Arabidopsis thaliana: one gene and its partners. The protein of the gene in region 1 interacts with the protein of each later gene in a pairwise test. Each region holds a gene or a part of one and is shown in the gene's direction. Other genes may lie near its edges. The genes, in order: CIPK1, SOS3, CBL3 and CBL9.

Region 1 (6,590 bases):
TTTGTTATGAAAAAACAAAACTTCTCCTTTTAAATACTTCATTAATTGTTTACCATTACCATTGTTGATTTGGTACATATGATTTCTCGTTCCATCTTGGGTTAATATCTCTTTAATTAATATGTTTTAGGGTTATTGGGCTCGTATATGTAGTGAGAGACTCTACATAGGAAGCTAGAGTTGTAACACGTAGAATCAAAGGCTAATATTAATGTTTCTTAATCAATGGTTAATATCTCTTTAGTTTAACATTAAAAGAGCACGAGCAAAAGAATATAACAAGAGAAAATTGTGGTATAAAATATTTGCTTGAGAAAGTTTATATAACCACGAACGAGTTACTCTTTTATTTATTTAAATTTATATATATAACACACCTAGTCATCTACACACAAAAGAGAGAGAGAGAGAGGTTCTGATAACATAGATCAATCAATATGTTACTCACTGCCGGCAGCAATACTATCACCGGCCATTTTGACACGTTTGAGAGACTCGAATAATTTTAATTATTGGTTTTTTCTCCTTTTCTATATAGTATCTATTCATTTCAGCCACATCATTTACTAACTACAAATTTTAATAAAAACCTTGGGAAAAAGATGTGTAGAGAAACATGTGACATATGACCTTTTCATTACCAAAAATATGTTGGGACGACTGACGAGAGCTAAGAACCACTACATTCTTCAATAATCTATGTATCCAATAAAAAGATATAATATGGAGTTTTCCAAATTCAAGAGATTAGCCTGGTGCCCAGGCCCTGGTTTATTGAAACTTTTGGATTCTCAAAAACAATTTATTTATTTTAATTAAATACACAAACCGCATAAGAAAAACAAATATAAATTGAATGGTTCCATGTGATTTAATTAATTGTGAGCCGACAAAGGACGAGACATGAAATATAGTATAAATTACCATAGTTTTTTTTAAAAAATATTAACTTTAAGTGTATCATTAACGATTGTGTTTCTAAACGCTTGCCTATATTGCGAATTAAAAATTTGTAAAAGTCTACAACTAATATTATTAGTCTACAAAGACAGAAACAATATAAAACTGAAAGCACCATGTTTATTTCCCCCCAAACCGAAAGCACTATCGTAAAAAAGTGTTTTAAATCTAATTATCAATTCATGCACGATATCGACGTATATAAATGGTTTATTACCAAATTATCTCTTAAACTGAAAATGCCACGACAATGAAGACCTACTGTCTATGAAACCAAGTCATAAGTTCAAAATTTCCATAGAAACGAATGGGTTATGAACGCGTTGTTTAATTTGTTGTAGTGTGTATATATAACTTGATCTTAAGTTTAGGTCTCTTTTGATCTCCTCTTTTATAACAAAGGTACAAAACTAAACTGTAACTTTAAGAAATCATAGTTGGACTTCAACTTTTAAGTAACTCCAACATGAAAACTTGGAAAGTATGTGATTCCTTGTGAACTTTTATGTGTATACAAGTTTGTTTCTACATTTAAGAACTAAAATCCGAAAGCCAAATCAAAACTGCTCCAGTAACAAGAACTATAAAACTGCAAGCACCAATCTTTTTGTAGCGTTTCTTTCTGACTTTAAACCAAAAGTTCTTATGAATATATTTTTTCATCTATTATTATTTAATTTCAACATAAAACTAATGCAACAAATGACGTGGGCCTATTGATGCATACAAGTACACACATAAAATACACACATATTCGCAATATACATCATATATAGAATTATTCTGATAAATCAATATACTCTTTGCGTATATTTTCCATATTTTGATTGTTGACAGAAATAAGATCCTTTTTAAATTTCTCCTTATAATGAACATAGACATAATTTCATTTGATAGGAGTTTTATTTGACCAATAATAATAAATCTCGATAAGTACCCTACTAAAAAAATCTTATTTCGATAATATCAAATCTTATATGGTTTGTTAGATTAATCTTTTTCTTTTGTGAAGATTAATATGTTTCTAGTTATCCAATAAAAATCTGGCTAACAAAAACCAAAAAAAAATAGTTAACGAGGAATATATATATAAAAAGAAGTGAATATAATAAGAAGAGAAGAGGAAACAAAGAGAAGTAGCGTCCTCTCTTCAATTTCAACCGGCACTTTCTTCTCTTCTTCTTCTTCTTCCCAATCTTCCTCGTCTCTTTACCTACACCTATATATATATATATATATATATCTCCTTCCCTCACACACATACCTGCACAGCTACAATAATCTACTTCCCCTCTTTCAATAACGGAATTAATAGTAATCTAATCGGAAGATTCAAGCGAGAAATCGATTTGGTTGTCTGTTAATTTGTTGGGAAATAAATTGAAATAGGAGATTGATTGGATGGTGAGAAGGCAAGAGGAGGAGAAGAAGGCGGAGAAGGGAATGCGTCTGGGGAAATACGAGCTAGGGAGGACGCTCGGCGAGGGTAATTTCGGTAAAGTTAAATTCGCTAAAGATACCGTCTCCGGTCATTCCTTCGCCGTTAAAATCATCGACAAGTCTCGTATCGCCGATCTCAACTTCTCCTTACAGGTTCCCATCTCTCTATCATCATTTCTAATTTTTTTCTTTTCTCTTCTTTTACTAAATTTGTAATTTGACAGATCCAATTCTTATGAATCTGTGCAGATAAAAAGAGAGATCCGGACTCTGAAAATGTTGAAACATCCCCACATTGTTAGATTACATGAGGTCCGTATCTTAAATTTTTGTGTATAATCATCTTTGGATTATCGAAATGATTCTGTGATTAGGAAGTAAAAAGGTTTATTGCTTAATTAGTATAACAATTTTTGATTATTCTTCTGTTTGCTTGTTTCTGTTTATTTAGTATATACCTGAGTATGACAGAAAGTGATCGAATTATTGCCTGCTTATGGATGGTTATTCAAATTTTGATTCGTCATTTTAGATTGTTAGATTAGGTTTAGTAAACTATTTTTAGTTAATTTCTTCATTGTTGTTTCTTTATCTATCAAAATGGAGCTGACGAGGATTAAAAACACCTCAAATCTTGGATAATTGTTGTTTGCTTTTTGGATCTTTTTTTTTACTGTTTAGGAATATTCTTACAAGTCATTTGGTTTCGTACCCAAACATGTTTCATTTAGCTTGTTTTTCACGTTGCCAATTAGCCGCATCATTTTACATAATTATTAAGTTAATTATTCCATTATTTGATATGGTGGCTTGGCCGGTAACACAAATCTGACCTGTTCAATTCAAAGGTGGGGTCCTAAAAAAAATTATCGTGAAAAATGCAGGATATGTCGCTTGATCATCATATAATTGCTTAATCTTAGTACCCTTTTAAGCTTTTTATCATGTGGACCCTCTTTGATCTTATGCTTAGTTTTACTTTTTATTTTATTTTATTCATATAGTATTATTTCAGATGATTATTGTATGGGTCATTGCTTGCTGTATCTTTGCGTTTTATTGTTGACTTCTAATTATTTCGATTGCTTCTTCCTCTTTGCCATTTAACACGAGATTAATCGTGACTTTTGGTTAAGCAACCATTGTGGATCTTCACTTATTTGATACACGTGGTCCACTTTTTAAGCTCGTGACTAACTTTGTCGTGTCTTGGACAACTAAGTGTTTTTTATGTAATCTGTGGATATGAATGCAATTCGAATTCTAAATGTTTCTTTTTCTTTCTTGTGACTAATCTTTTGGATTCTCAAACATGAAACATCTTACCTCAGAACTCACTGTTCCTTTACCTTGAAACTAATGGCCTCTTCCTTATGGTAATCATGCAGGTCTTGGCTAGCAAAACGAAAATTAATATGGTAATGGAACTTGTTACCGGAGGAGAATTGTTCGACAGAATTGTAAGACTCTTACTAGCCTCTATGCTCAAAGCAAAAAAGATTTTTTTTCTTTTTTTGACGAGTGTCATTTTTGCTAAACTCACACTTTGATGATAACTCTCAGGTTTCCAACGGAAAATTAACAGAAACTGATGGAAGAAAAATGTTTCAGCAGCTTATCGATGGAATCAGCTACTGTCATAGCAAAGGTGTTTTCCACAGGGATCTCAAGGTCTGTGATTCTCTCACTGTGTTTCAAACCATGGAAACCTTATGGAATAGTGTACTGATGTTTTTCTATATTGCAGCTAGAGAATGTTCTTCTTGATGCAAAGGGACATATAAAGATCACTGATTTTGGCCTCAGTGCTCTGCCTCAGCATTTTAGGGTACTTGAAAATATCATCTTAAAACCATAGCATATCACAGCAGAATTATAATTGTTGAATCCGTTCGAGTTACAACTAATTTTCTCTTTGGCATTTTAGGATGACGGATTGTTGCATACAACCTGTGGAAGTCCTAATTACGTTGCGCCTGAGGTTTTAGCTAACAGAGGCTACGATGGTGCAGCATCAGACATATGGTCCTGTGGTGTAATCTTGTATGTGATTCTAACCGGATGTCTTCCTTTCGACGACAGAAACCTTGCAGTTCTTTACCAGAAGGTAAACCTCATTTTTTCTTATATATATGCCAATTCAATACACATTTTGAAGAAATAAGCTTGATAATTGATTTGATTTCTAGATATGTAAAGGAGACCCACCAATACCAAGATGGTTATCCCCGGGTGCAAGAACCATGATTAAGAGAATGCTTGATCCAAATCCAGTCACGAGGATCACAGTTGTGGGTATTAAAGCCAGCGAGTGGTTCAAACTTGAGTACATTCCTTCAATTCCCGATGATGATGACGAAGAAGAAGTTGACACAGACGATGATGCTTTCTCAATCCAAGAACTCGTAAGAATCTGCCACCCTTACTCTCTATCGCAACTGCATTTGAGTCAAGTACAATGTCCTCATTTCTCTGTCTCTCTTTTGAATGGTCTAGGGATCAGAAGAAGGGAAGGGCAGTGATTCACCGACCATCATCAATGCGTTTCAGTTAATCGGAATGTCTTCCTTTCTTGACCTGTCCGGTTTCTTTGAACAAGAGGTAACTAATCTTCTAATACTCTGTTTCAAAGATCTGCTCTCTGCTTGAGCCAATGTATAATAAAAAGGAGTTATACTTTTACTTTCTCAGAATGTATCAGAGAGGAGAATAAGATTCACTTCAAATAGCTCAGCAAAAGATTTACTGGAGAAAATCGAAACAGCCGTTACAGAAATGGGATTCAGTGTACAAAAGAAACATGCCAAGGTGGGTCTTCACAACATGGTCTTCCTCTTCCTTAGCAACTTGGAATTTCAAATCTGTAGGTTTATAAACTTTAAACTGTATTTTGTTTCAGTTAAGAGTAAAACAAGAAGAAAGAAACCAGAAAGGTCAAGTTGGTTTATCAGTAACAGCTGAGGTATATTAACTATTACGTAAACATTATTTCACTGTTCAATAGACTATTTAGTGAGATTATTTGACTAATAGAAGAAATTCTTATGATATCAGGTTTTCGAGATAAAGCCGTCACTGAACGTGGTTGAGCTAAGAAAATCTTATGGCGATTCATGTTTATATAGACAGGTATGCCACTATTGTCATTTCTTAATTAGACTGAAGAAACACATATCAAAGATAAAAATGTTTATGTTTGATATTGGGGTTGGTGCAGTTGTACGAGAGACTATTAAAAGACGTGGGCACATCCTCGCCGGAGCAAGAGATAGTAACTTAGGTGTTGGTGTTTTCGGCTGAAGAGATATACATAGCTCTAATAATTTATCATATGGAACACACCATCCATGTTCATATAATTTATTATCTTAAGTATATATAAAAGGAGCTCGATTTATATGATTAGTGCAAATAGTAATTGCATTTAAGTATAAACCGTGGCGTAGATCTTTCCTCAAGAATTAGAGATTTTATTCACTACCTTTGTATTTGTTTTTATTATTATTTGGTGTGGCAAATCTGCCTACTAGCAAAAAAGATCCCATAAAAAATCTCTTCATTATTTTTGTAAATAATATACATGTGTTTAGTTTGTATCTGTACATCATTCAATTCCGCACCAACCGATCTACGTATATAAATTTTTAGTATTATGCTATGTTGCTTTCGTCTCATAAAATACTCTCAAGAGTCATGAGTCATGTGACCTATCAACATTTAGCGTCCTGGAATGTAACAATTGTAGTTTTAAAGTTAGTCAAATTCACAACTTGTTCTTGTTTTAGTTGGAACTTGAATGTAGTGCAAATAAGCCAGGAATCAAAATAATATATCTAGTCATAGATTAATCAAACGATTTTACTACAAAAACGCAAAAACGAATAAACAAAAAAAGGAGATTGAAGAAATTACGTCCTTACCTGTATCGACTAATACTGAACCAAACTTGGAACATAATTGAAAATAAAACGGCTCACATGAGTTCATAAAAGGAATGAACTTAGGCCATTCGCCAAAATGGATTTCTGTGTATTCACGGTCCTCCCCAACAATGTATACAAGGTTCTTGCTCGCAAGTCTGTTACTTGTCTCACAACCCACATAGCAAGGCCATTCCTTTCTCCTTGTCGATGAAGAAACTGTCATACGATAACATAGCACGACCACCAATGTCTACATCTACCGTAAAG
Region 2 (7,160 bases), on another chromosome or scaffold:
GAACGATCCTCAGAAGAAATTAGCCATGGATGACCCAAAGCTGCCCGATGGAGATCCCATACCGGGTTTCAAGGGCTATGCCGTGAACATGATTGATTTGGCTCCAGAGGAGCTCACTGTTCAAACTTACTCAGGATACGGGCTTAGAGAGACTTTGTTCTATAATCTCTTTGGGAATTTACAGGTATAGAGACCCAAAAGCAAGTTAAAGCAGCTCTTCCACACATCAATGGTGGTGGTGCAGTCTCTTTAGATGGTTTTATCGCAAAAGATAACGGATTCATATATTCCGGGTGCAGGTACTTGACCTTTTCTTGATCCTTGTATCCGTTTTAGTTCTTGAATTTAAACTGTAAAGCTCAAAACTCGAGTTTTATTCCTTGCATCTGTATTTACTGCGGATGATATGATTTATGGTTTTTGGATCAGCATACCGGAATTTCATTTCCCGATTACACTAAAGGAGGATGAAGAAGTGAAGCTGAGAAAAATGGAAGCAGCAAGAGATAAAGTGAGAATGGCAGCGAAGAAGATAGAGGAGGAGAAGTGTTCAATGCGTAAGGTAGACAAGAAAATGAAGAAAACAAATGAAAAATATCACAATGTCACAAACTCATTAGAGCTAATCCAGTCTCAGTCTTTAGAGTAATGAGAGTAAAACTGGACCTAAAACGATTCAAACAGTTTGTTTACCTGTTGGTTATCGGTTTGGTTTTTGTGTTTTTGGATTAGTCACTTTTGTTCTGAAATTTCATTTTCTTTTTCGGTTAATGGTATTTTGTTCACCAATTTTCTATTTCAAAAGTTTGTTTTTGATCTTGCTGCTATGATCTTTTTAAATAACTAGATTTTTTGAACCATAACGAACATATTATAAGAAAATAGCCATGGTAGCAAAACCAAACTTTTAAAATATCACCAATCCAACAGACAAAAAGAGAATACTAGTGGGCAAAAAGTGAAGGAAAATTTATCATTTCACATCGTAATTTTTTGTTTAATTGAAAAAGTGCAAATGAAATGATGGGTCAACTATAAATAAAATAAAGATTTTGTAATTGAACTAAGAAAATAAAACTCTGTGGATCATGACGAAAGTTAGAAAAGTTAGGCACATGTAGTTTCAGTGTTGTCATGTTTTTTTTTATGTAAGAGTAGGAAGCTCTCTTATAGGACGGGTATGATCAGCTGACAAGTTCCAAACCCTATAAAAAGTGATGTACATTGTGGAATCTGGTAGCTTGACGATGATGAATGTGATATATCTCTTTCATAGTTACGTTTTCATGGTAATTGTTAAAATTTTCATAAACAATCGAGTTCATTTTTATCGGAATCATAATAATTACTACAAAAATGAGCATACGTATAAATGTAATTATCAATCATCTGTAAGAAAATTTGTATTAGTTAGTTTAAGAAATATATTAGCGACTTTTTTTTTGGTCACAAGAGTGTCCATTTTATTTATATCAAACATCAAACTAAGGTCCAAGACAAACACATCAAGCGAAGGTGTAAGACAAAATTTCTTATGAAATATATAATTAACTTTTTTAAAATTGGTGTATTTTCAGAAGTGAATAATATTTTAGGTTATTTTTATATCAAAAACTGCCTCTCATATTTATAATTTTTTAAAAGATTATTTGCCAACAACCACCACAAGTGTCAACAAAAGGAAATTAAAAAGTGAGGTGGGACTTGAAAACAGTACTACTCTAATATTTTTTTTGTTTGTCATAAATAGAAGGTCGAGGAAACATTGCTATATAGTTTATAGTACACGATATAAAAATATATTTTCAAAACCGACATAACATCGGGATCCATCTGCGCATGGACGGACACAAACCTAACCCGATGTTGGGAAGCTCGTCACAAATTTGTTCTTCTATTTAAATAACTCTCATTTTGCCCTTTTCCTCTTCCAACACCATTATTCAATTATTCAAGATCGAGACAAGTGAAGAGTCGACAAGAACATATAGAGATTCATCCATATCTTGGTTAGTTATTTTTGATCTTATTTTTTTTGTTTCTTCGATTCACCATTGCTGAGAAAATCTTTCATCTCTATCCAATGTTTTTTTTTTCTATCACTTCCATGTTTTGGTTTTCTGTTTCGTAATTTTTAGTCCACCTCAAGATATATGTAAAGGAATTCACTGTTTTCCTCTCTCTTTTTTTCGAAATGGAGGTTTATGAGCTTGAAGTTTATCCCATCTTGGGTTTTCTTCAAGAAAGAGTCAAAATATGTCCGTGTTTCCAGGAATCTTCTGATAAGATTTAGTATAATTCGGTTAAATATTAGAAAAAACAAACAAACCAAAGCAAAACCATTCTTTAAAACTGACTCAATTGAGTTCTTTAGTGCTATAGACTGAATTGAACCGTTTGATTTTTGTTTTTCTTCTAATTGAGTGTATAGTTTCCAACATTCCATTAATCATTCAATGGAATTTGGCTTTGGTTTTGGTTTCAATCGAAATCAAGTTATTTCAGATTAGAGATTACAAATTGGATCATATCCGGTTTGGTCCATCTCGGTTCGATTTTGGTGGGTGTTTAATTAGTTGGTAGCCATTAGATATTTAGAACTGTTTTTTTGTTTCTTGTGTCACTTTTGGTGATTTAGAGTCTAAGGAGAGGAGATGGCAAATTTGATTTCTTACTAAAAATCAAAGACCACACCTAATAAACTTATTTATAGCAAATAAATTATAAAAGTCAATAGCTGCAAGTTTTTTTTTTTTTCATTTTTACTATTTAAATACTTATAGAGAAAATAATTAATTTTAAAACGTCATATTGCTGCGTGGCCGGTTTGATTAAACAACATTTTTGTTATTAATTATACAAAAAGATCGCGAGAAGTAAACAACAAGATGAAAATACTGCTTCTAAATTAGATATGTCTAAGTTTGTTTACACGACGTACATTGAGTATGATTACGTATAGATCTAAAAAACAGGTAATGAGAATTTGGAGGCTCCACACATAACAAAATCAAAATGGTCCATAAATTAATACATTAATTAGAAATGTCATAGAAAAGCCAAATGCACCAAAACCTTCCTTAGGCATTAGTTGATCATTATTAATGATTCATTAATTAACCAACTAGGCTCATGTAGTTTTCAAATATATACTATATTAGATTTGAGGTTCCAAGTTCAAGATTCGCTTTGCCTGGTCAAAGACAGGCTCTGATATGTACCAAATTAAATGCTAGTATGGTTGAGGATTTTACGTGGCTTTTTTGGAACAAAACGAGATTTAAATATACTATATAGTCTCTAGATATTAGTGTAAGTGTAATCAAGCCCTTTTTGTTTTATTTATTAGTAAAACACATATAAATTGCCTACATTGAAAAAAGCAACAAAAGGTTGTCTCAATCTCGTGATTATTGATTTTTGATAAAGCATCACTTTTTAATGTGGTCCCATGGCCATTCATATTGTAACTCTTCTCTTAGTTCTCTATCCTTTTCGTTCAAAATCCATTCTAGTCTCTCTTCACTTAAAAATGTACTCACCAAAACAACTTAAATCATGTTGGGTCTGATTGGTAACACAAAACTTTAGCTGTTAGCTGGAGCGGTAAACTGTTACGAAATAGTACAAAACTGTCTAAAAGAGCTGTACAGAAAAGTTTAGAATAAAACTTTTTGTAACGTTTTTGATAAAGTTTTTTTGAATGGTAACTGTCAAAGTTGTACAGTTTGTACAACTTTGATAATGAGTTACCATTCAAAGCCGTTATTTATTCAACCTATCCGGCTTCTTATTATGTTCCTAAACTTACGACATGGTTGTATTACTCGCTTAAATGTGTTCTTGTGATTGAGTTGGACATAGGTTCAAGCTTATTTGGAAAAGAAAAGAAAACATCTTTGTAGATATTTACTAGAGTACATTGACTGATTCATGTATATACGTGGACCAACGTCGATTAGATTTGATATTGATCCGGTATTTGTATTTATGTATTATCTATATGTATGCATATATCATAGGAGACTTTGATCATTTATCTATGTTATTAGGGATAATAAAATTAGGAGTAAACTAATTATCTCTTATATCTATACACCTAGTCATTAGCGTGGCTAATACGGCGACTTGCCTACACCTTCTGTGAATTATATAATATTTGGTTTCATTACGTTTATTGTGAATCATTACTAAATTATAGATTAAATAGGGAAAACGCTGTTTTTGTTCTAATTTTGGCTACTTCTGTTAATGAATTGATTGTTTAGGGAGAGCTTACTAGCTGTCGTGAAAGCTACAACTATTTTAATGGCTAACTTTGCCACCTATATCCTATGTATTTATTATGTAAAAAAAAAAATGTATAAACCAATGACATAATCGTTCGTATAGCCGTCGACTTCTATTGTATATTTGCTCAAACGTCGACCCTTTCAAAATTTTAATATCGATGTTTGTCAAACTCTTGCAGATTTTGATGAATTCGACGCTAGATTGCCTTTAACGAAATTCAAATGTTACATATACATAGACGATATATATATACATGCATTAGATGTACATGATTAGTGCTCATCTACATTAATATTTCATGTATGTATATGTAATTAAATATTGAATTTCATTAGAAACATTTTGGTAATCTCGTGAGTTTGCCAAAATATGTTTACTTTGTTTGAGTTTGACCACAAAAAAAACACTAGAAAAGTCAATAACGTGACAAACTAAACAAGTTGCCTATTATTAATTGCACTCGATCTTAATTGGTTTGTTCTAGGACCATTTTTAGTAGAAGTAAAACCAGCGAAAACGAATGTAGGATTCAGTCGAAGGGTGTTTTATAAAATCATCAAATTATTAGGAACAATGAAATATCTGTAAATTAACCAAGATTATTTGCGTTTGGTTGTAGCGTGAGAAAAGCAAAGGCTAATAACAGTTGAGAGAAGGGTGTGTTTGTATGGGCTGCTCTGTATCGAAGAAGAAGAAGAAGAATGCAATGCGACCACCGGGATATGAGGATCCCGAGCTTCTTGCATCCGTCACGCCATGTTAGTTTTTAGTTTAAAATCTTATTAGTAAGACAATCTTTAAATGTTACAATAGCATGTTGTAGAGTTTGGTAAACTTTTTCAAATTTTATTTTACTTGTAATGGGAGGGACAATAGTCACGGTAGAAGAAGTGGAGGCTTTGTATGAACTGTTCAAGAAGCTAAGCAGCTCAATTATCGATGATGGTCTTATTCATAAGGTTTCTTCTTTCACTCTAAAAGGTCCATATGTAGACAGCAATTAGGTAATCTATATAGCTTAATTAGAGTTTAAAAGTTTGATGTTGCAGGAAGAATTTCAGCTGGCTTTATTCAGAAATAGGAACCGGAGGAATCTCTTCGCTGATCGGGTACATATAGTAACTACCTAGCTAGAACAAGTGACATTATTGAAAACATATGTAAATTTAAACAAAGTTCTGTTTTATAATATGCAGATATTTGATGTATTTGATGTGAAGCGAAATGGAGTGATCGAGTTTGGTGAATTTGTCCGGTCCTTAGGTGTCTTCCATCCAAGCGCGCCGGTCCATGAAAAAGTCAAATGTCATTCTTCTAGCCCCAAAAATTGTTTCATATTCATTCTATGTGAATTTACTTGATATTCTTTTCTTAATTGGCTAACTAACAAAGAATTTTCTCATGAATTTGCAGTTGCTTTCAAGTTGTACGATTTACGACAAACTGGATTCATCGAGCGAGAAGAAGTGAGTCCATTTACGGATACTTTGTTTTGGTACCCTCCAGATTAAACAGTTTTACTCCACTAACGTTTATGTGTGTTGATCTAACATGTATATACCATAATGAATTACATTTTGATTAGTTGAAAGAGATGGTAGTAGCGCTTCTTCACGAATCCGAACTAGTTCTTTCCGAAGATATGATTGAAGTAATGGTGGATAAGGTAATCACTCCCACACCGATGCACATTTGTTTACTAGATATTAATTCCAATACTGAAGATGATATGATAAAGAATTTATAAGGAAATGGTGGTATATATTTGCAGGCTTTCGTGCAAGCAGACCGCAAAAACGACGGAAAAATCGATATAGATGAATGGAAAGACTTTGTATCCTTGAATCCATCGCTCATCAAGAACATGACTTTGCCATATCTAAAGTGAGTTCATAATTTACACCGTGACCAACTTTGATCCAAACCAACTGCTTTGATTGTTGCATTGAATCAAATTGACTAATCAGAAGATTCTTGGTAAATGTAGGGACATAAATAGGACGTTTCCAAGTTTCGTTTCATCTTGTGAAGAGGAAGAAATGGAATTGCAAAACGTATCTTCCTAATATAAGCCATGCAAGGAAAGATAAATATACATAAAACGAATATTTTTGTACAATATCTTAAAAGAGGAAGATAGAGATGTAAGCTAGGATTTGGAAATAAACCGATCTTGATAACGATATTGGACTTGCCTTGTGTACTGTATATATTTAGTTATTTACATAGCGACTCTCCATCTCACATACATAATTACTAATTAAATATTTACAAATCTAGTCTATTATTGCTTCATTGTTGTATATACCAAAATATATGATCCACCTTTTGCGGATATTCATATTTTTGTTACATGAAAATATTCGTGTTTTTTTTAGAATAACAATAAAAAATTTGTACACACATGGTTTATTATTGTAGATAATATTAATATATATCAAACGAAATTTTAAAAGTAGATGATTTATGAAAATAATTTTTGCTTATTTTAATTAGTTCTTGAGTAAAATTATTTATACATTCTAGATATTAAATAATGTTGAATTTTTAATTGAATAAACACTTTATTATATATAAAAATTGAAAAACAAAGCAAGCCGAGGAATCTCTCTCTAATCTATCTCCAAGACGGACCAAACCAGTTTTAGTTCTATCTCTCAATCTCTCTGATCAGCTCCATTTCCAATGTAAGCCCACCAACTTCAACTCTAATCTCCATCTTCCTCTTCCTCTTCAAATTCGTTTAGTTCAACAAGTTCCCATCTTTCCAGTGTCAATCGACGATTCCTTTTTCCGTTAATACGCATGTATTTGATTCTTATTGCTGAGGAATTGAAGAACCATTTTGATCATTGTTGTACCCATTG
Region 3 (5,041 bases), on another chromosome or scaffold:
TTAGCTCAAGCTTTACTCTGTTTCTCTTTGCTCTTGTTCAGGAGATCAAATCAAAGACCTCTCTGTTTCCGATATGAGTACCCGTTATTCCTCTCAGTTGCAATCATCAGCCATTAACTCCATCACTGTCTCCTCATCTTCTTCCTTCGCTTCCACGCAACTGGATGATAACACTCACACGGCTCCGGAGAGCTCTCCATCTTCTTCCTTCTTCATGAGACTTGCCATGAGGGTATCTAGAGCAAGGTGGTTCATTTTCTTGAGAAGAGTCTTTCATTACCAGAACGCCTCAAGATCCGATCTTGGCACCAATCCTTTCAATTCTATCGCTTGGATGGTATCAGAGCTCATCGCTTTACTTTTACAGATCACTGTGATAACATCCACACTAGCTTTGTCCAAAAACGAGAGGCCTGTTTGGCCGATGAGGTTATGGATCACTGGCTACAACGTTGGATGTCTGCTCAATCTTATGTTACTATACGGTCGGTATCGTCAGCAAGATACTAGCCATGAAAATGCATTTAGCTTCGGCGATATTGAGCAGCAACAAAGAAGCAGGGAAGAGACCACCAGGTTACTAACAAAAATCTAGTTTTTTCAAGTTTGATCATAAAATGCAAAGATTTCTAGGAAAATGACTTATTTTTGTGTGTGTTTTAGGTGCTCGCATTTGATGAACAAATGCCGGACATCGCTGGAGCTATTCTTTGCGATATGGTTTGTGATAGGTAATGTATGGGTTTTTGATTCTCGGTTTGGTTCTTTCCACTATGCTCCAATCCTTCATGTCCTCTGCATCTCCCTACTCGCTTGGAACGCTCTCTGTTACTCCTTCCCATTTCTTCTCTTCCTCCTGCTCTGTTGTGTTGTACCTCTCGTTAGTAGCTTCCTCGGCTACAACATGAACGTTGGATCTTCGGAAAAAGGAGCTTCAGATGACCAGATCTCCAGTCTCCCAAGTTGGAAATACAAACTCATTGATGAAACTTCTGATTCTTCTCAAGCAAACAATGATCCGGTAAGCACTAATTTGAATTCTGAAATAGGTCAAATAGTCAGAAATCAATCTTGATATCAAAACTGAAACCCACCGGTTTCATTATTGCAGGAATGTTGTATATGTTTGGCAAAGTACAAAGAGAAAGAAGAAGTGAGAAAGCTTCCATGTTCGCATAGGTTTCACCTCAAATGCGTAGATCAATGGCTTCGTATCATCTCGTGTTGTCCTCTTTGCAAACAAGATCTCCCTAACTGAAAAATCAAAACAATACATGAGTCACAAGATTGAATCTCTGACCAAGTACCATATATGTGTTTTTTTTTTTTTCTGTTGCCGCCTAAACACGTTTACTTGTGTGAATGTCGTTATCATTCCTTTTTTTTTCTTGTGTACAAAGTAGCTCACCAGTAACTGTAATTTTACCTAAAAAAAAAGTTAAAAAACATGATCAATCTGTTGTTTTACCAGTAGAGTTTGTCCCTCTCTTACCATTAATCAAAGTTTTAATTGTTGGTTAATGTAACTAAGCTTATACTGGTTTTTGCTATAATATTTTTTCCAAAGACAATTTAAACCGAATTCAAACCCAGAGACCAAATCAGACCAAAGCAACAGTCAGAATCCGAATAACATGACACGCCGTCGTATAGGAACGATTATTGAAACGATGGTGTTTAAGACAGCGCATAAATGGACACATGCTCCACTAGACGACGACGTGTGAAAGTGAATGTAACAAGGAGTTTTATTACAACTGTATCAACATCGAGTAAAAATAAACAAAATTATTTATTTTTTAAATTTAAAAAGTATAAAAACGCCAACAAACAAAAATAATTTGGTCTTTTTCTTAGCATATTTAAAATTTTGCAATATATTCATTCTGCTTATAGAAAATCGTGTCGACCTTTTTTCTCTCACTTACCCAATAAGAGCTTTTTTCGCGTTTTCCACCGCAACCACCGTCACCTTCAACCGCCGGAGCCGCCGCAAGGAAGGCTCATCATCCGCCGTGGCGTAAGGCTTTTTCTTCTTCTCTTTCTCCCTTTTCTACGATTTCGCGGTCGGTCGCTTCCTCGTAATCTCGTGTGTTTATTCCGGGAAAATCGCGATGGGAAACAAGTTAAAATTTGAGATTGAGAATCAAGCAACTAATTTCTTCGCAAGCTGATAGATCCATGAGCTGATTACCAAGTTTATATAACGAGATTCATCGTTGTTGTATCTCTGAATCCGAACGATTTGGAATCTAAAACTCATTGGATCGCTTTTTCTCATATCCGTCATTTCTCCTTAGCTTAATCACTTCTCTGATTCATATCGCGATTAGATTCAGGTGTCGATCCTCAGAGGATTATATTTTCTGACGATTAATCCGTCTGGATAGTTTTATTATGTTCTTCATGATGCATTTTTTTTCCCCGCAAAATTCATGATGCATTTCTGACGTGAAATTGGGTGTTTTTGATTCCTCATTTTATCCTAGTTCATGTATTTTTTGGGGCTGTTTCTTAGATTTGGGTTTCGTGTTTTAGCTTAAAGATAGTTCCTAATCCATGAATACATTGGTTAATCTGGAAATGAATCTGGAGTTAAGATTAATGCATAAAGTTTACGACCGTTTATAATATGCGTCTCCTCTGTTTGTGTTTCATAGTATCTGGTGCTTTAGTCTAATTCAGATCTGATCTGAGAATGATGAATCTTGTTTGCTCCTGTCAATTCTTCTTTAACTGTTTTGCAATTTGATGAGCTAATAACTGACTATATCTCATTTCCTTCCCATCGCAGAATTTTTTGAGGTGTACAAAGCATTGCCTATTTGACGAACCAGGAAATGGTTAAAAGGTACTTATCTTGTTCAAATGCATATGTCTTTAGATTCTTCCAAGTGGTTCGAAAGTTCTTACATTTTATTGTTATTTAACAGGCATGGAGAGTTTTGATTTACAAGATATATCATGTCGCAGTGCATAGACGGTTTCAAGCATGTATGCTCCTCTTTTTTCCGGTGTTTTGATATCGATATTTACAAACAATCTGGAGGCCTTGGTGACCCTGAACTTCTTGCGAGAGAGACAGTTTGTATGCTCTCAACTTCTTTTCCATCTTATTTTAACTTCCATGCACTTTTTTTTTCCAGTTATATGTATGATTCAAAGGCTTGCCATTACTCTAGTTGATGCTCTCTGTTAAGAGGAATGCAAATCTTTCTTTCTGTGTTTTGATCATTGACTCGTTTGGGTGCAGTTAGCGTGAGTGAAATAGAGGCTCTCTATGAGCTGTTTAAGAAAATCAGCAGTGCTGTGATTGATGATGGGCTAATAAACAAGGTATGAAGGAAGGGCATCATTATATGTCTTTTATGCCACTCACTTATACTCCTCACGAATCATGCATATTGCTACGTCTTTTGGACATCCTTTTCTGATTTTCCTTGACCTGTCTTGTCGTTCAGGAAGAATTTCAGTTAGCCTTGTTCAAGACAAATAAAAAAGAGAGCTTGTTTGCAGACCGGGTATGTTCTTCTTTTTTAATCAAAAGACTTTGTTATCCATTTGCCAAGATCCTTTTTGAAAGATAACTTGACAGTACCAATCACAGGTATTCGATTTGTTTGACACAAAGCATAATGGAATACTGGGGTTTGAGGAGTTTGCGCGTGCTCTCTCTGTCTTTCATCCAAATGCTCCCATAGAAGACAAGATTGACTGTACGTCTTTGATCTTACAAAGTTGATCTGAGAAACCATCTATACAATTTATCTGATGTTGACATGCTACATGTAACCCATGAAATATCACTAACAGTTACCGGGAACATTGTTTTGCAGTTTCGTTTCAGCTATATGATCTTAAGCAGCAAGGTTTCATAGAGAGGCAAGAGGTGAAGCAAATGGTGGTGGCTACTCTTGCTGAGTCCGGCATGAACCTGTCAGACGAAATCATAGAGAGTATAATCGACAAGGTGTGGTTCCTTCCTACCCTGCTCGATACTATATTCTTGTTCCACTGTTGTATAGCCAACTCATGATAGCAGTTGAGAATAAAGTAAAGAGTGGTTTCTAAGTTTCTTCTTTCACAGACATTTGAGGAAGCTGATACAAAACATGACGGGAGGATCGATAAGGAAGAGTGGAGAACCCTTGTTCTCAGGCATCCTTCCCTTCTAAAGAATATGACTCTCCAGTATCTTAAGTGAGTTCCTAAACCAAGACTTATCCGAGGTTTAGGCAATGCAACTTCCAATTTTTTCTGTGTTATTATTAACACCGATCTCTGATATTGTGTGCAGGGATATAACAACTACATTTCCGAGCTTTGTGTTCCACTCGCAGGTGGAAGATACCTGAGAAAAACAATAGCATATTAGCAGAGGAGACAATTTGGGAATTGTGTTTGTTTTCTGATTATGTATCATGTCTATTTGTTTCAATCTCTCTGAACATTTTCAAGATTTTGTTGTTACTTGTGTGAATTAAAAGTAAAGAAAACAAATCTGTATTTTTGCTACTCCTGATTTTGATTGCTGATTTTCTCCTCGCATCTGTAGATATACTACTAACCTTGAGACATGAATCCTATTAATAAAGAGCAAACTGATGAAGTGATAATAGAGAGCAAAAAAGAGAGAACCCAACACCAAATGATCGGGTATGCTCTAGTCTGAATTCTGAAGTCAAAATTGAAATCACCGATTTGATCGAACCGGATGCAACATTACAACAATCGGATTTGTTAGTCTTGTGGTTGACTTTGTCAGTTAGAGTTGACAAAGTAATTAGCAAAGTTAGTGACGATTGTGTTCTGCATAAACACGTTTACTTTGAGGAATAAATTACTTACTCTTTCGGTCTTTCCTAATATATATGTTTTCCCTGTCTCAAAGATCTGAATAGGTATCAGAGCGCGTTGACAATCTCTTTTTTTGATCATCGATTTGTTCTCTCTTTCTTGGCTAAAAAGTTTCTATCTACACGACTCTCCATGGATTCAACAAGAAATTCAGCTTCTTCCAACTCCACGGGATGCTTTACGG
Region 4 (5,189 bases), on another chromosome or scaffold:
GATCTGTTCGATGAGACTACGTTATATGACAAACAATGGCAAGCTGCATGGAAAGAGCCAGATTCATCAACAGTTTCTTCAAAGAAGTGAACAAGTTCTTACAATCTTTCATTTTCCTTTTTTTGTTATGCAATAATCTGTGAATCAGTGAAAGTTTATCTCTACTGAACTACTGATCTTCAGATTTTGTAATCTTTCTGCTTTAAAAATCTCTATGAAGTAGTCTCAAAGATAATGTATCGAAGGTCTTTGACTTGTAAAGCAGACCTATTTCGTTTTGACGCTTGATAATTTAATCAATAAGAGATTTTATTTTTTTTAATATGCTTTCTACTGTTAATACATCATCAAATAGTAGCGTTTCCAGATGGATGTTTGTGAAAAGTCATCAAGTAAGTCATATTTGTGAATTAATCAAAACCGCACTTCATCAACCAACCAACCAACCTCCAAAGAATTTGGGCTTCAGTACTAACGTCCTTTAAGGGTGTAACACATTACTGCTCTGCTCTTATTGCCGCAACTAATTTGACTCAATTTTAAGTACAAAATGGACCATTAAACTGTTGTCACTTGTCAGGACCACCGGCCCAAAATTAGTAGGGACCTTAGGACAGTTTGATATTAGTCTTTTAGTAAAAAAAAAGTTTTTTTTGTTTATCTATAAGAAAATACAATATTTTTTTAATAGATCTTAATTTTCTAAAATATCAACAGTCTATGTTTATTTTTGTGTCTGATTTAAAAAAAATTAGTTAGTTATCAAAACTTAAAACAAAAATATTAGGTCCAGGACTTTGGCATCTCCCACTTTCTTGAAAAACATGGATACTGTATGGACCTTCTTGTTTACTATTGTCATAATCTTTTTTCTCATAATCTTTTTACTATACTCATAATCTCTCCTCCTCATAATACATCTCCCACTTTCTTAACACCTCATAAGTCTTCTCATAATCTTTTTACTATCATAAAAGTTTCTGCTTGTATTGGAATGAAAGAATTTGACCATTTAATTTGGAATTCTAAACCCAATATAAAATTATAAACCACTCTTACTAGAGCCAGGATCCCAGTTTCAAATTTAATATACGTAACATGCATGATTTGGCCATGTCTTATGGATATGCTAATCCATTTCTTTTTTTTAGGCGAACATTATATAGTTTACATTATTGGATTGTTGGATGGCGTACGTACTTAATTAGTTTCAAAATTTGATAATATACATGATTAGATCATGTCTTATGGTTTATATAAAAGTAATTATGTTAATCCATAATTCTTATTTAGACCGCCTTTATACTATTGGATTTTTGTTTGTCCTACGTGATTGATTAGACTACTAAAATGTGACCAGAATTATTATAATTCTTCGTTTATCCCAAAAGGTATATGACCCATATTGAAATTATTATCAAACACACTCTACATGAATCTTGAATATATAGATAAATACAGTAATTAGTCCCCTTGCTAGTTGGGTTATCATATTAATATTTATTTATTGCAAGATCTTGAAGACTATGAGATCTTGACATCTGTATGGATTATGAAAATGAAAGATCCAATTTGAAAATTATATCTTATACAAATAAATATCATTCTTAGTATCTTTTGAGTATGTTAAATCTTGACTCTACAAGTACTAGTTACCTCTCTACACTTTTTTTTTCTTACAGTTATAAACTTACATAAAAACAAAATTCGAGTCTAAATATTTTTCTTTTAATAAAAAAACAAAAACAAAACAAAATCATTGCAGAATTGTAAGAAAACTTGTAAAAATGATTAACTTTCTTAACCAATAAAAAAGGAAAGTTGAAAGTTGAAATTTCGAAACTAAAATGTCAAACAACAATAATGGCTTTGTTTTCTTCCCACACTGTAATAAAAATAAAATAAAAATGGGGTTGGTAGAAAAAAAGAGGTAAAAATGACAAGGATGTGTTTCACACGCGTTCAGACCCTCACACGTGCGACGATCATGTTATAAACAAACTCTCTCATAATTTCCCCAATCGGAGGCCTCTGACGAACAAAAAAAGCCCAGCAAAGTCTGAAGTTAATCTCAGCCGTCCGATCAATTCATCTACCATCGTGGTCAGAGATCTTCTTCTTCGTCTCTCTCTCGTTTCTCAAAAATCAAAATCCCTTCCTCTCTCTCTCTCACCGAGCCGGCGAGCCCGTTCTCTCGGTGGTAAGTGCTCAATTTTTCGATTTCACCATTCAGTTTCTGGGTTCGGAGATTCTCGAGCCGCTCCTACATTACCTGTTTAATTTCCGATTTAATATTCAAAATTTTGTTAATCTGAATTCGATTGCCACATAGCTGCTGCTTATTTTTTCTAGGGTTTATACTTATTCAATTATCGTGTTCGTCTTTTAATTCAATTTTTGTTGGGTTTTGTTTTTGATTGAATCATTGTAGTTTTTAAAGATGCTTATGATGATGATGGGGAGTGAGTAATATCAGAAATCAAGCTTTTTCACAATCTCAGAAATTGTAGTAGAGTTTGGCGATTTTATCAACCTCCGGAACAAGCTTCTTCTTCTTCGTTTTACTCTTGTCATCCGTAAATGGGTTGTTTCCATTCCACGGCTGCCAGAGAATTTCCCGATCACGAAAACCCTGTGAAGCTTGCTTCTGAGACTGCTTGTAAGTTTACTTGCACTATACGTTTCGTTTTCTCTTCTTTGCTTTATTCTCAAAGAGCATGAGCATAAAGATCTCTCTTTTATCAATTGTTAACTGATATGAGAATCTGTTTTCGCCATTTATTGAATCCGAAAAATGGTTCTTTCATTCATAATCTATTTGATCTACAACTTTGTTAAATGATGCTTGTTGTTACTTAAGTCATCACATAAACCTATTTCAATAGTTTCTTGGATCATTAGTGTAGTTTACTTCTACTTTCAAATGGAATCTTAATCAGAGAAAGTTTTCAAGAACCATCACTTTCGATTTTTGTTTTGGTGATATACATGATGTTGATGAGAAATCTCGCAGTGTGGCTAATTATTTGTTTGTTTTTCTAGTTAGTGTTAGTGAAGTTGAAGCATTGTATGAATTGTTCAAGAGCATAAGCAGCTCGGTTGTTGACGATGGCTTGATAAACAAGGTAATGATAAATCTCATAGCCCTTTGATTATTTCGCACCTCATGGGAGAATCTTGAATGCGTGATGTACAGTGACATAATAATATTCATTGCACCATTATCCATATTCCGTATTATTTGTCAACTTTCTTGACTTTCACAAATTTATTATTGAATCTCCATGCTGAGCTGTGGGCTCCTTATTGCTCACCAAGTCTCTGTGTTGATGATAGTTGACTTGAATTTTAATTCCATTTTTTATATTGGTTTGCTTATAAAAATTGATGTTTTCTTGGCCCACTCTTGGATATTGTTACTTATTTTCTCGACCAACTTGTTATGCAGGAAGAGTTTCAACTTGCTTTGTTCAAGAACAGAAAGAAAGAAAATTTGTTTGCCAATAGGGTAAATTCTAAGTTTCTTTGGCCTTAGTAACTTTGTAGTTAGTCGTAACGATTAGTTCTATTATAAGTAGTTAATGGTAATGCTCTTTTTTCCAGATATTTGATTTATTTGATGTTAAACGAAAAGGCGTAATTGATTTTGGAGACTTTGTGAGATCACTCAATGTTTTCCATCCTAATGCTTCCCTAGAGGAGAAAACAGACTGTAAGTTGACCCATAAACGAGTTTATATCCATCGTCGTTTCTCTAAAGCCTTGCTGTACTTTTATTCATGTTATTCTGTATTTCATATATCAGTTACCTTTAGGCTTTACGACATGGACTGCACAGGCTTCATTGAGCGCCAAGAGGTAAACAATGGTCCTATATCTTCACATTCCATTCCCAAACAATCTATGTTTCAAAGACTTTCAGTATTATGGATTCTGCATCATCTATAAGTAATCATAATTGTGTATGCGTTTTTGGCAGGTGAAGCAGATGTTGATTGCACTTCTCTGCGAATCTGAAATGAAACTGGCTGATGATACAATAGAGATGATACTTGATCAGGTTTACTTGTTGTCTATTACAAGTTTGTTTTCTGTCAAAAGAAAGACTGTTTTATGAAACTCGAGTTTTTTTTTCTTTTCGTGAACAGACATTTGAGGACGCAGATGTGGATCGGGATGGAAAGATTGATAAGACAGAATGGAGCAATTTCGTTATCAAAAACCCATCTTTGCTTAAAATCATGACTCTTCCGTATCTCAGGTATGTCTCCTTACTATGATACTTCCATCTATTTGGCCAGTTTTGGTGCCATTTTCCAAGTTTGAGGACTTAAAAACTCAATTTTAGGGATATAACGACGACATTTCCGAGTTTCGTATTTAACTCGGAGGTGGACGAGATTGCGACGTGAAAGAGACAAGACAAGCTGGTTTATAGAGACCAAGTCGTAGGCTGGACCAAGAATAAAAAGAAGATTGATTCCAACAATGTTATATAGCAGGATCGAGCTCTATTTCCTTTGGAATTTTTAGTCTATTGGATTTCAATTTCATGTATTGCGATTACTTTTGGCTCTCTTTCTTTAACAGTTTTGAATACTCAAGTTGTAGTTCTACGAAAAGATTAATATAAAACCACAATTTCTGATTAAAGATTTGATTTTGCTCATAAATTATTCCAACACTTTATGTTTTATGTAACGAGAAATCAAAGTCAAATATGCTTAGACAGAAGAAATTAGCCATATAAATCAATTTATTATTATTAAGGGAATTGAAAACTTCAAAAATACCAAAATGAAACTAAAATTATAATCAAACCAGACCTGAATTTATTGTAACCGATAAATCCGAATTGACGTGTGTGGTGCCGGCTTTGAGATGAAGACAGACCAATGATGATCCCAGTAGCTAAAGAACTCAAGCGGATTCAGACATTCCATGCTGTGGAGTGATTCTCTCTAATCCCCCTGTACGGCGACGCTTTTACATATCCTCCATGTTCTTTGACTACAAAAGCCAAGTTTGAGGATCATTTAGTTGAAACTCAAGAGTTCAGACAAGAATCATTTGTATGAAACTCAAGAGTTGATACCAAAAAGAAATTTCTCACGGAAGATGACACTTCCCCTGGCACAATCTAGATGAGCGTGATAGTGGGACGTTGTCCATATCTAAAAAAAGAAAAA

The links.
Region 2: the proteins of CIPK1 (region 1) and SOS3 interact in binary tests that used the Arabidopsis thaliana proteins (3 or more experiments, as listed by UniProt).
Region 3: the proteins of CIPK1 (region 1) and CBL3 interact in binary tests that used the Arabidopsis thaliana proteins (3 or more experiments, as listed by UniProt).
Region 4: the proteins of CIPK1 (region 1) and CBL9 interact in binary tests that used the Arabidopsis thaliana proteins (3 or more experiments, as listed by UniProt).

What each region holds. Positions count from the first base shown.
Region 1 is NC_003074.8:5,988,399-5,994,988, reverse strand, and holds CIPK1 (CBL-interacting protein kinase 1), read left to right. Parts: upstream 1-1,987; 5' UTR 1,988-2,361; coding exon 2,362-2,553; intron 2,554-2,649; coding exon 2,650-2,712; intron 2,713-2,910; exon of another isoform or gene 2,911-3,773; coding exon of another isoform or gene 3,774-3,788; coding exon 3,789-3,860; intron 3,861-3,963; coding exon 3,964-4,071; intron 4,072-4,147; coding exon 4,148-4,228; intron 4,229-4,327; coding exon 4,328-4,507; intron 4,508-4,589; coding exon 4,590-4,805; intron 4,806-4,896; coding exon 4,897-5,001; intron 5,002-5,091; coding exon 5,092-5,208; intron 5,209-5,299; coding exon 5,300-5,362; intron 5,363-5,454; coding exon 5,455-5,529; intron 5,530-5,617; coding exon 5,618-5,680; 3' UTR 5,681-6,065; downstream 6,066-6,590. Other genes in the region: AT3G17500 (F-box family protein), read right to left, coding at 6,491-6,590. UniProt on the Arabidopsis thaliana protein: CIPK serine-threonine protein kinases interact with CBL proteins. Binding of a CBL protein to the regulatory NAF domain of CIPK protein lead to the activation of the kinase in a calcium-dependent manner.
Region 2 is NC_003076.8:8,237,980-8,245,139, reverse strand, and holds SOS3 (Calcium-binding EF-hand family protein), read left to right. Parts: upstream 1-1,696; 5' UTR 1,697-2,009; exon of another isoform or gene 2,010-4,912; 5' UTR 4,913-4,960; coding exon 4,961-5,051; exon of another isoform or gene 5,052-5,153; coding exon of another isoform or gene 5,154-5,169; coding exon 5,170-5,252; intron 5,253-5,329; coding exon of another isoform or gene 5,330-5,342; coding exon 5,343-5,402; intron 5,403-5,489; coding exon 5,490-5,598; intron 5,599-5,706; coding exon 5,707-5,759; intron 5,760-5,878; coding exon 5,879-5,959; intron 5,960-6,064; coding exon 6,065-6,177; intron 6,178-6,280; coding exon 6,281-6,359; 3' UTR 6,360-6,657; downstream 6,658-7,160. Other genes in the region: AT5G24275 (En/Spm-like transposon), read left to right, coding at 1-190.
Region 3 is NC_003075.7:13,407,922-13,412,962, reverse strand, and holds CBL3 (calcineurin B-like 3), read left to right. Parts: upstream 1-1,892; 5' UTR 1,893-2,339; intron 2,340-2,794; 5' UTR 2,795-2,851; intron 2,852-2,933; 5' UTR 2,934-2,964; coding exon 2,965-3,088; intron 3,089-3,253; coding exon 3,254-3,336; intron 3,337-3,461; coding exon 3,462-3,521; intron 3,522-3,595; coding exon 3,596-3,716; intron 3,717-3,836; coding exon 3,837-3,970; intron 3,971-4,087; coding exon 4,088-4,200; intron 4,201-4,297; coding exon 4,298-4,355; 3' UTR 4,356-4,541; downstream 4,542-5,041. Other genes in the region: AT4G26580 (RING/U-box superfamily protein), read left to right, coding at 74-576, 664-1,021, 1,112-1,258; CBL7 (calcineurin B-like protein 7), read left to right, coding at 4,990-5,041. UniProt on the Arabidopsis thaliana protein: Acts as a calcium sensor. CBL proteins interact with CIPK serine-threonine protein kinases. Binds calcium ions. Binding of a CBL protein to the regulatory NAF domain of a CIPK protein lead to the activation of the kinase in a calcium-dependent manner.
Region 4 is NC_003076.8:19,129,119-19,134,307, reverse strand, and holds CBL9 (calcineurin B-like protein 9), read left to right. Parts: upstream 1-2,003; 5' UTR 2,004-2,200; intron 2,201-2,431; 5' UTR 2,432-2,580; coding exon 2,581-2,659; intron 2,660-3,042; coding exon 3,043-3,125; intron 3,126-3,448; coding exon 3,449-3,508; intron 3,509-3,603; coding exon 3,604-3,712; intron 3,713-3,805; coding exon 3,806-3,858; intron 3,859-3,979; coding exon 3,980-4,060; coding exon of another isoform or gene 4,061-4,117; exon of another isoform or gene 4,118-4,148; coding exon 4,149-4,261; intron 4,262-4,348; coding exon 4,349-4,412; 3' UTR 4,413-4,668; downstream 4,669-5,189. Other genes in the region: LIL3:2 (Chlorophyll A-B binding family protein), read left to right, coding at 1-90. UniProt on the Arabidopsis thaliana protein: Acts as a calcium sensor involved in abscisic acid (ABA) signaling and stress-induced ABA biosynthesis pathways. Contributes to the regulation of early stress-related CBF/DREB transcription factors.